Linked DNA regions of Rattus norvegicus. The main gene of each other region encodes a partner of the protein of the gene in region 2 in a complex. Links are inferred from orthologs where the notes say so. Each region holds a gene or a part of one and is shown on either strand. Other genes may lie near its edges. The genes, in order: Fbxo22 and Bach1.

The links.
Region 1: the proteins of Bach1 (region 2) and Fbxo22 are in contact, whole or in part, in a cryo-EM structure (PDB 8S7D), measured with the Homo sapiens proteins. The link is inferred for Rattus norvegicus from reciprocal best matches to the Homo sapiens genes BACH1 and FBXO22. Residues at the interface, in NP_001177.1 of Homo sapiens: Ser7, Val8, Phe9, Ala10, Tyr11, Glu12, Ser13, Ser14, Val15; in NP_671717.1 of Homo sapiens: Asp366, Gly371, Asn372, Phe373, Ile374, Leu375, Arg376, Lys377, Cys378.

What each region holds. Positions count from the first base shown.
Region 1 is NC_086026.1:64,482,334-64,486,145, reverse strand, and holds part of Fbxo22 (F-box only protein 22), read right to left. Parts: coding exon 3,809-3,812; intron 2,588-3,808; exon of another isoform or gene 2,452-2,587; intron 399-2,451; coding exon 234-398; intron 1-233. UniProt on the Homo sapiens protein: Substrate-recognition component of the SCF (SKP1-CUL1-F-box protein)-type E3 ubiquitin ligase complex that is implicated in the control of various cellular processes such as cell cycle control, transcriptional regulation, DNA damage repair, and apoptosis.
Region 2 is NC_086029.1:40,446,101-40,449,912, forward strand, and holds part of Bach1 (transcription regulator protein BACH1), read left to right. Parts: coding exon 1-1,311; intron 1,312-3,446; coding exon 3,447-3,653; intron 3,654-3,812. UniProt on the Homo sapiens protein: Transcriptional regulator that acts as a repressor or activator, depending on the context. Binds to NF-E2 DNA binding sites. Plays important roles in coordinating transcription activation and repression by MAFK.

The DNA.
Region 1 (3,812 bases), on a different chromosome or scaffold from region 2:
TTGTCAACAGTAGCCTAGAAGCTTCTAGCTGACCAGAACTAAAACAGAGCAAGTTAATCAACAAAATGAGCAAGTAAGAGTAAATAACAATGCGGGTGGGGTGTACAGCATGCACTTTTAAACCCAGCACTCAGGAGGCAGACGTAGGGGGATCTCTGAGAGCAAGGGTAGCCAGAACTATATAGACCTTGTCTCAAACTACGTAAATCAACTAGTAAATAACAATAACTTACCCACTTCAGTAAGTTGATGTCTTTCGAGAGTTAAATTCTTGGGGTCCTTAATAAAATGAAAGGGTTGAATTTTTATTCCTTCAATTTGAGGGAATAATAAAGCAAAACCAGATTCTCCAATTTCTATTTCCTGAGGCCGATTGCTACCTGATCCCATTGGAGTCACTAGGGAGAAAAAGAGTTTCATAAGGACATCTCATAGAAACCAGACGTGGTATCAGCCCATCGCATCCTAACTGCAGCTTAGGCTGGCAAACAGCTGCTCCCAGAGGCACAGCTCTCTGGCAACTTCAGGGTGGCAATGCCTGCCATACTCTTTCAGGTGTGTTCAGAAAGGAAGCTTTACAAACCAAAGCATCCAAATCGAGCAGTCGCTGAGTCCAGATGAAAGGAACTGCTGCTCTTCAGAAGACCTTGTTCCAGTTCTCAGTCTAACTCTAGCTCCAGAGCTGACACCCTCTTCTGGTGTCCATGAGCATCAGGCATGCATGTGGTGCCCGGATACACATGCAGGCCAAAGGTCAAACACATAAATCCTTTTTAAGTGTTAAGTTTCTAAACTCAAATCGGGGTAGGAAATATTCAAAGAAAAACACAGAAGAAAACAACCACACGATATACTGTGAACTTAAAACATGAAAGAAAAATGTGAGTTTACGATAAGGCTTGTGGTGGTGTCTGGTTAGTTAACCCGACAGGATTTACAGCCACCATCGCTCTGGGCAGTGTGTGAAGGATCTAGATTAGGTTAAGTCAGACCTTGAACTTGGGCAGCACCATCCCAGAGCCTGGAGTCCTGCAGCCAAGCTGGAGCAGTCACGCTGGGTGGGCTCCGTGAGTAAGGACAGTGTGATCGGCTTTCTCAAGCCTCTCACATGACTCCCTACCAGGATGCACCCTTGAACTGTGAGCTAAGCAAGTTCAACCCAGATTGTGTTTGCCAAGTATTTTATTGCAACAGCAAACGAGCTACTCCAATAAAGGCGAGGAGGGAATCCTAACAGTCTATCCCTGTGAGAAGATGCAGGATGGTCTGAATTAAAACTACAGCAGACTGAGCCAGCCTCGTCACAGGTCCACAAACAAGTACCTAGTAAGCACACAGAGGTACTCAGCGCAGCTGGTCATCAGAGTCATCCTCACACCTACGCTGGCTGTTACTCAGAGGCCGTGACCCGAGTACCAGGGACACAGAGCAACTGCAACCTCAGACCCTGTCGCTGAGTATGGCATGGTAGAAATTTGGAAAACTAGCAGTTTCTTTTTGAGTTAAATATGTATCAGTGCTAAAAACCAATAAGTTCACTTCTTAAGTTCCAAGGAAACTTATAACTTACACAAAAGTAACATCCTTGTTCATGATAACCTAGGAGCAGAAAACCAGTCTATGAAAAGCAGAATGAGAAAATAAATCTCGTCCCTTTTATCACAGAATGACTCAAAATGCCTAAACGAAGGGCTGGGACATGGCTCAGTCTGGTAAAGTGTCTGCTATATAGGCGTGAAGACCAGAGTCTGGAAGCCCCCCCCCCACACACCTAACCGCAAGCAAGCAAAGGTCAGACAATGGAGGAAGCCTAGCTTGAACAGTGAGCCCAAGGTCAGTGGGAGGCCCTGCATCAAAGAACTGAGAAAGATACTTGACAGCTTCTGATCTCTTCATGCAGACAGACAGACAGACACACACTCTCACAGGCACCCACACAAACACATTTTAAAGGAATTGCTGAGAACTGTAACATAAATGAACCTCAAAACCACATTTATTTATATTGTGTGAGAGCTAAAATACAAAAAAGAGGACAGGCACCATGACACTGACAGGCAAACCTAGCCACACAAGTCAGAAGATTTCTGGGAGGGGTTGTCAGGAAACAACAAAGAAACTACCAGCCTCAAAGACCATCCTTAGTCACTGTTATACTGCTGTGGAGTGACACTATGACCAAAGCAACTTTCATAAAAGGAGACATTTAACTGGGGGCTTGTTCAGTTTCCAAGGCTTAGCCTGTCTTCATCAGGGATGGGAGCATGGTGGCCGACAGGCAGGAGCTGGAGAGGCAGCTGGGAGCTACACCCAGACCCACAGGAACAGACGGGGACTGGGGCTCGGGGACTGGGGCTCGTATGGGCTTGTGAAATGTAAAAGCCCATCCCCAAGGACAAACTTGCTCCAACAAGGCCACACCTTGTAATCCTCTGTAATCCTTTCAAACAGGTCCTCTCCATGGAGACCCAGCATTTCAGGAAGCTATGGGGGCCATTCTTATTTAGATCACCACAACCAGCTTGGAGAGGGTCCAGCAAACAGCAGAAGCCACACTCTGGCTGGAGCATTGAAATGGTATTTAATATTTGCCCCTAACAAGATCATGAGGACTTAAAGTAGCACAAAGTCAAAGCTACTTCAGGACAGGGCAGCAACTAAGGGAAAGCTGCAACTGCCACTGACTCGCCAGGGAGCACAGGCCTGCTAGCCACGGCTGATCCTTTCTTTCCTGCCCCCACTCCTGTAACAGAAAACTCAAACAGGAGGAACTCACTGTGTCTGGAGAAGCCACAGTGGATGCAAAGGACAGACTAAGATGTGAGGCACGAGCTACAACCCAACATGAGCATCCACCATAACCAGCAATGATAAAAAGGCTACCGGCCACTTAATGCCAATTCAAACCTTGGAAGAAAACCATTGCCACGGCTATTGCTTTATGAGTGTGTGAGCAGCTACAGCCCCTACTCAGCTGCAAACACTTGGAACCCTTTGTGTTTCACTGCGCAAGACTCGGAAATACAAACAAAATCCTTCAGGACACTTGTGTGGGGACAAGGGTGGCAAGGGTCTTCATGCTTGTGTAGCAGGCATTTCACCAGCCGAGCCACCTGCAAGGCTGTTTAGGCTCCAGAAAATAGCAATAGCGGACTAACACCTTCTTGCTGCATGGTTAGTTCTAAATGCCAAGGATATGTTACATCACTGCATCTTCACAGTCCTCCAGAGATACTGGGGTCAGCTTCCAATTTTACCGACGAAGAAACTGAAGCCTCATGGATGTCGGTAAACTGTCCAAAGTAAGTCCTAAGTGATACAGCTGGAATCCTAATCCGTGTGTCCTAACCACTGTACCATCACTACATCAACAGGAAACAATACAAATACCGAAGGCAAACGTGCCATGCTGGCAACGTGCGGAGAAACAAGCCTGCAGGTAAGGCCCACAAACCTGTCCCTCTCAGTCGCTCCTACCCGCAAGAAACAAGAGGGGCTGAGCTGACCAGACTGGACTGGCTGCAGGTCTTTCCTAATCTGGGGAGGTAGGAGGACATTTTCCCTCCTGGCGATTGGCTGAGAGAAGACAGAGATTACACTTGGCCCTTAAGCAGCCTTGGGATCTGAACTATGACCCTCAATCACCCGAGAGAGATTTTAAGTGCAAAGTCACACCCCGGCAAGGATGGCCAGTGCTGTTGTTTTAGATGATGGGAAATGTCAATGTACTCACAGCTATAAATATTTCACCAATCCATGCGACCCCACATCAACCCAAGGCAAGAAATAAGCTGTTAATTTCTCTCACCTAC
Region 2 (3,812 bases):
TTTGCCTACACTGCCAAACTCATTTTAAGTAAAGACAATGTTGACGAAGTCTGCAAGTGTGTGGAGTTTCTAAGCGTACACAATATCGAGGAATCCTGCTTTCAGTTTCTCAAGTTTAAGTTTTTGGACTCCACCTCAGAGCAGCAGGGATGTGCAAGAAAAAAGTGCTTCTCCTCACACTGTCAGAAAGCAGATTTTAAATTTTCATTTTCAGAACAGAAAGATCTAGAAATTGATGAAGCAGATGAATTCTTTGAAAAGAAAAGTGCTCAGACTTCTCATTGTGACTCCCAAAGATGTCAGGGCAATGTAAGAGCATCCCCCCATCTCCAAGACAGTGTCGGTCCGACGTGCCAGTCCATGTGCGTGGACAAGGACGGAGCCCTGGCACTGCCATCTTTATGCCCCAAATATAGAAAGTTCCAGAAAGCATTTGGAACCGACAAGATCCGAACTCTTGAATCCGGCGTCAGAGATGTTCATGCTGCCTCTGTCCATCCAAAGGAGACATCTGAACTTGAGTGTTTAGGGGGAGCGCAGGGCTGTGCAGATTTACAAGTGATCTTAAAATGTGAAGGGATGAAGCCAGCCATGGAGAGGGAAGACACAAAGTGCAAAGACCCCGCCCCTCAGTGTCCTGCAGAGCAGGCTGAAGTGACTGCTTTGTCCCAGGATTCTGCTGGACCTCACGGGCTCTATTCCCTGTCGGTCCTACACACATACGAGCAGTCAGGCGATGTGGGCTTTCCTGGGCTGCAGAGTAAAACAGTGAAAACAGAAAAGCCTCTGTTGGGTCCAGATGCCCAGGACGAGAAGCCATTGGAAAATCAGGAATTATACCTGAAGTCTAACATGGGACCCAAAGAAGACAGCAGCAGCCTTGCGTCCGAGGATCGGAGTAGTGTGGAGCGAGAGGTGGCAGAGCACCTGGCCAAAGGCTTCTGGAGTGACATTTGCAGCACGGACTCGCCTTGCCAAATGCAGTTGTCATCCGCTGTGGCCAAAGATGGCTCAGAACAGGGCTACTCTCAAAGGCGATCTGAGTGTCCCTGGTTGGGTATCAGGATCAGCGAGAGCCCGGAGCCAGGCCAGCGGACTTTCACAACTCTCAGTTCCGTCAACTGCCCTTTTATTAGTACTCTGAGTTCTGAAGGCTGCTCAAGCAACTTGGAAATTGGAAACTATGATTACGTCGCAGAGCCTCAGCAGGAGCCTTGCCCGTATGCTTGTGTGATCAGTTTGGGAGATGACTCGGAGACCGACACGGAAGGCGACAGCGAGTCCTGTTCTGCCAGGGAGCAGGACTGTGAGGTGAGTGGGAGGGAGGGACAGACGGACTGTGTGACGAGTTCCAGAGCGGTGAGACGGGCTGTGTGCATGCATCGCACATTGCTGTGCGTATTAATCATGGAGACCTCAACACAGGCTTGAGTACCTTGTAATCACATGTCCCAGTAGGGAGAAGGGGCAGCAGGTCTTTCCCCAATGGTAACTGTTAAACAAGAGCATCCCTTAGTCTGTGGTACCTGTAGCCCCCGGGTTGACAAACCTGAGACCAGTCTGGGATGTGGGCCATGGTTGGCTGTGAATAGCTGCAGGATTGTGGCCTGTAGGGAAAGCTTTCTCAGAATTGATTTTCATAGCTATTGAGCTTATGTATTATTTTGTTTTGTTTTTCTTTAGCCATGTTAAGTATTTGTTTAATGAGTATCCTAATAATTTAGCATGAGTTACATGTAGCTACTGACATATTAACCGTGTCAAGCTTGGTCTGCGTGTGCGCGTTCAGTGTATAGAAGTTTGTACGTACTGCTTGCTTTCTGTGAGAAGTGATTCAGTGATAGAAAGTAGAGGTCCGTGCACTAGAAATAAGGATTCTTTTGTTTTTAAAAGTCAGTTTTCTCTTTACACTGGAAGTTTTCACTTTGTTTTTATAACTACTTTTCAGCCATACTCTTTTATCTTTTTATGAAACCTGTGATAACACGAGGCCCGTCTATGAAGTGTCCCGCATGGCACTTTTAGCTCTGCTCATTGTACCTGCGTGGTGTATCTCTATAACTTGTTTTTGTCATTGAGACTCACTGGACACCGATGCCCCTCCCCTGCCCCATCTCCCAGAGCCTGACCCACCACTCTTCTGTCGCTGTTGGCTTTCCTGTTTTAGTTATCGCCTGTAATAGGGAAAGCAATGGAGGTTCATTCTGTGGAGTTCGGTTGATTTTGCTTGCTGTAATGCTCTTCAGACCGCAGCTCGTCTTTCCATAAGGCTGACCACATTTCCTCTGTCCACTCCCCTTTGTGTGGGGCTCAGACGGTCTCTCTGCCTGGGCTGCTGTCAGTGTGAGCACAGCAGTGCGTGTAGAAAGGCAGACGCCACGCCACTTTGAGGTCTGAATTCAGTTCGTTTGGACAGGTACCTGGGGGTAGGAGTACTAACTACCTTCAGTCTTCCTGAGAACTTGATGCTGGTTTTCATGGCATCGGCACTGCTTCCTGCCACCCGTGTATCAGGACCCATTCCCCCATGTTCTGTTCTTCATCACCGTCTTTTCCTTCGCAGCAATTGGATGGATTAGTCAGAGGAGGCTGCCTTTCCTGGGAGGAGATGGATTTAAGGCCCTGGGTTCAGTCACTGGACCACCAAAACACACAGACCAAAAACTATTCTAGGAAAAAATGTTCCTAATTTGTTCTAATACTTTCTCCATTGGCAAGTGAGATATAGCTTTTTAAATAAGTCATATGAAACTAAATTTTTGACAGAAAAGAAATTTCTTAAAGTGCTATAGACATGATTAGCATACTTCACACCAGTATAGTGTAGTGTCTTTGCTATGTGGTAATACTCAAAGACAAGATGGAATTCATTTGGGGAAATGAAGAACACATATTAAAAATACTTTAGGCAGAAACTTAAAGAAGTTGTTAACATACTAACTACTAAAATATTAACATACAGTAGTAAACTTGTAGATGTATTACTCTTTGGCTGGTGTGTCTGGTTTGCCGCAGTGTTTGACTTTTGAATGCTCTCCCGGGCCAGGAGTGTCAGGTGGGCTGTTATTGTTAGTTCTTATCGGGGTAGATTATGTAGGAATGGAAGAACAGTCTTTTAGGGATTTATTTGACTTAGGTGTGTGGGTGTGTCCCTGTGTGCTTGTATGTGTGGTGGTGTCCACAAAGAGCAGAGGTGTTGGGCCCCTGGAGCTGGGGTCACAGTCATTTGTGAAATGCCTAACATGGGTGTTAGACATAGACCTCAACTCTTCTGCAGGGCAGTAGCGCACCACACCCCTGAACCGTTCCTCTGACCCAAGGTCTGTGTGATTTGTAATGTGCTAACGTCTCTGAAAATGAAATGTGTGTCTCCCCGTGCACACGTTAGCTCATGTGCAGGGCCTGTCTTCACTGCAGTAGCCCCTAATGTTTATTTCACATTCTAGGTGAAACTGCCTTTCAATGCTCAACGAATAATTTCGCTCTCACGAAATGATTTCCAGTCCTTGTTGAAAATGCACAAACTGACCCCAGAGCAGCTGGACTGTATCCATGACATCCGCAGGAGGAGCAAGAACAGGATCGCTGCCCAGCGCTGTCGCAAGAGGAAGCTCGACTGCATCCAGAACCTTGAGTCAGAAATTGAGAAGCTGGTGAGTGAGTGGGTGGGTGGCTCCAGGTTGTTAAATCCCAGACATTTCTGTTTGTAGAATAAAATAGTTACTTAGGTTCCAAGGTAAGAGTCAGAGTTCAAATACCTCTTAAGAGGAATCAGGGCATGTTCAGGAAGATTAGAAGATTAAAAGTACGGT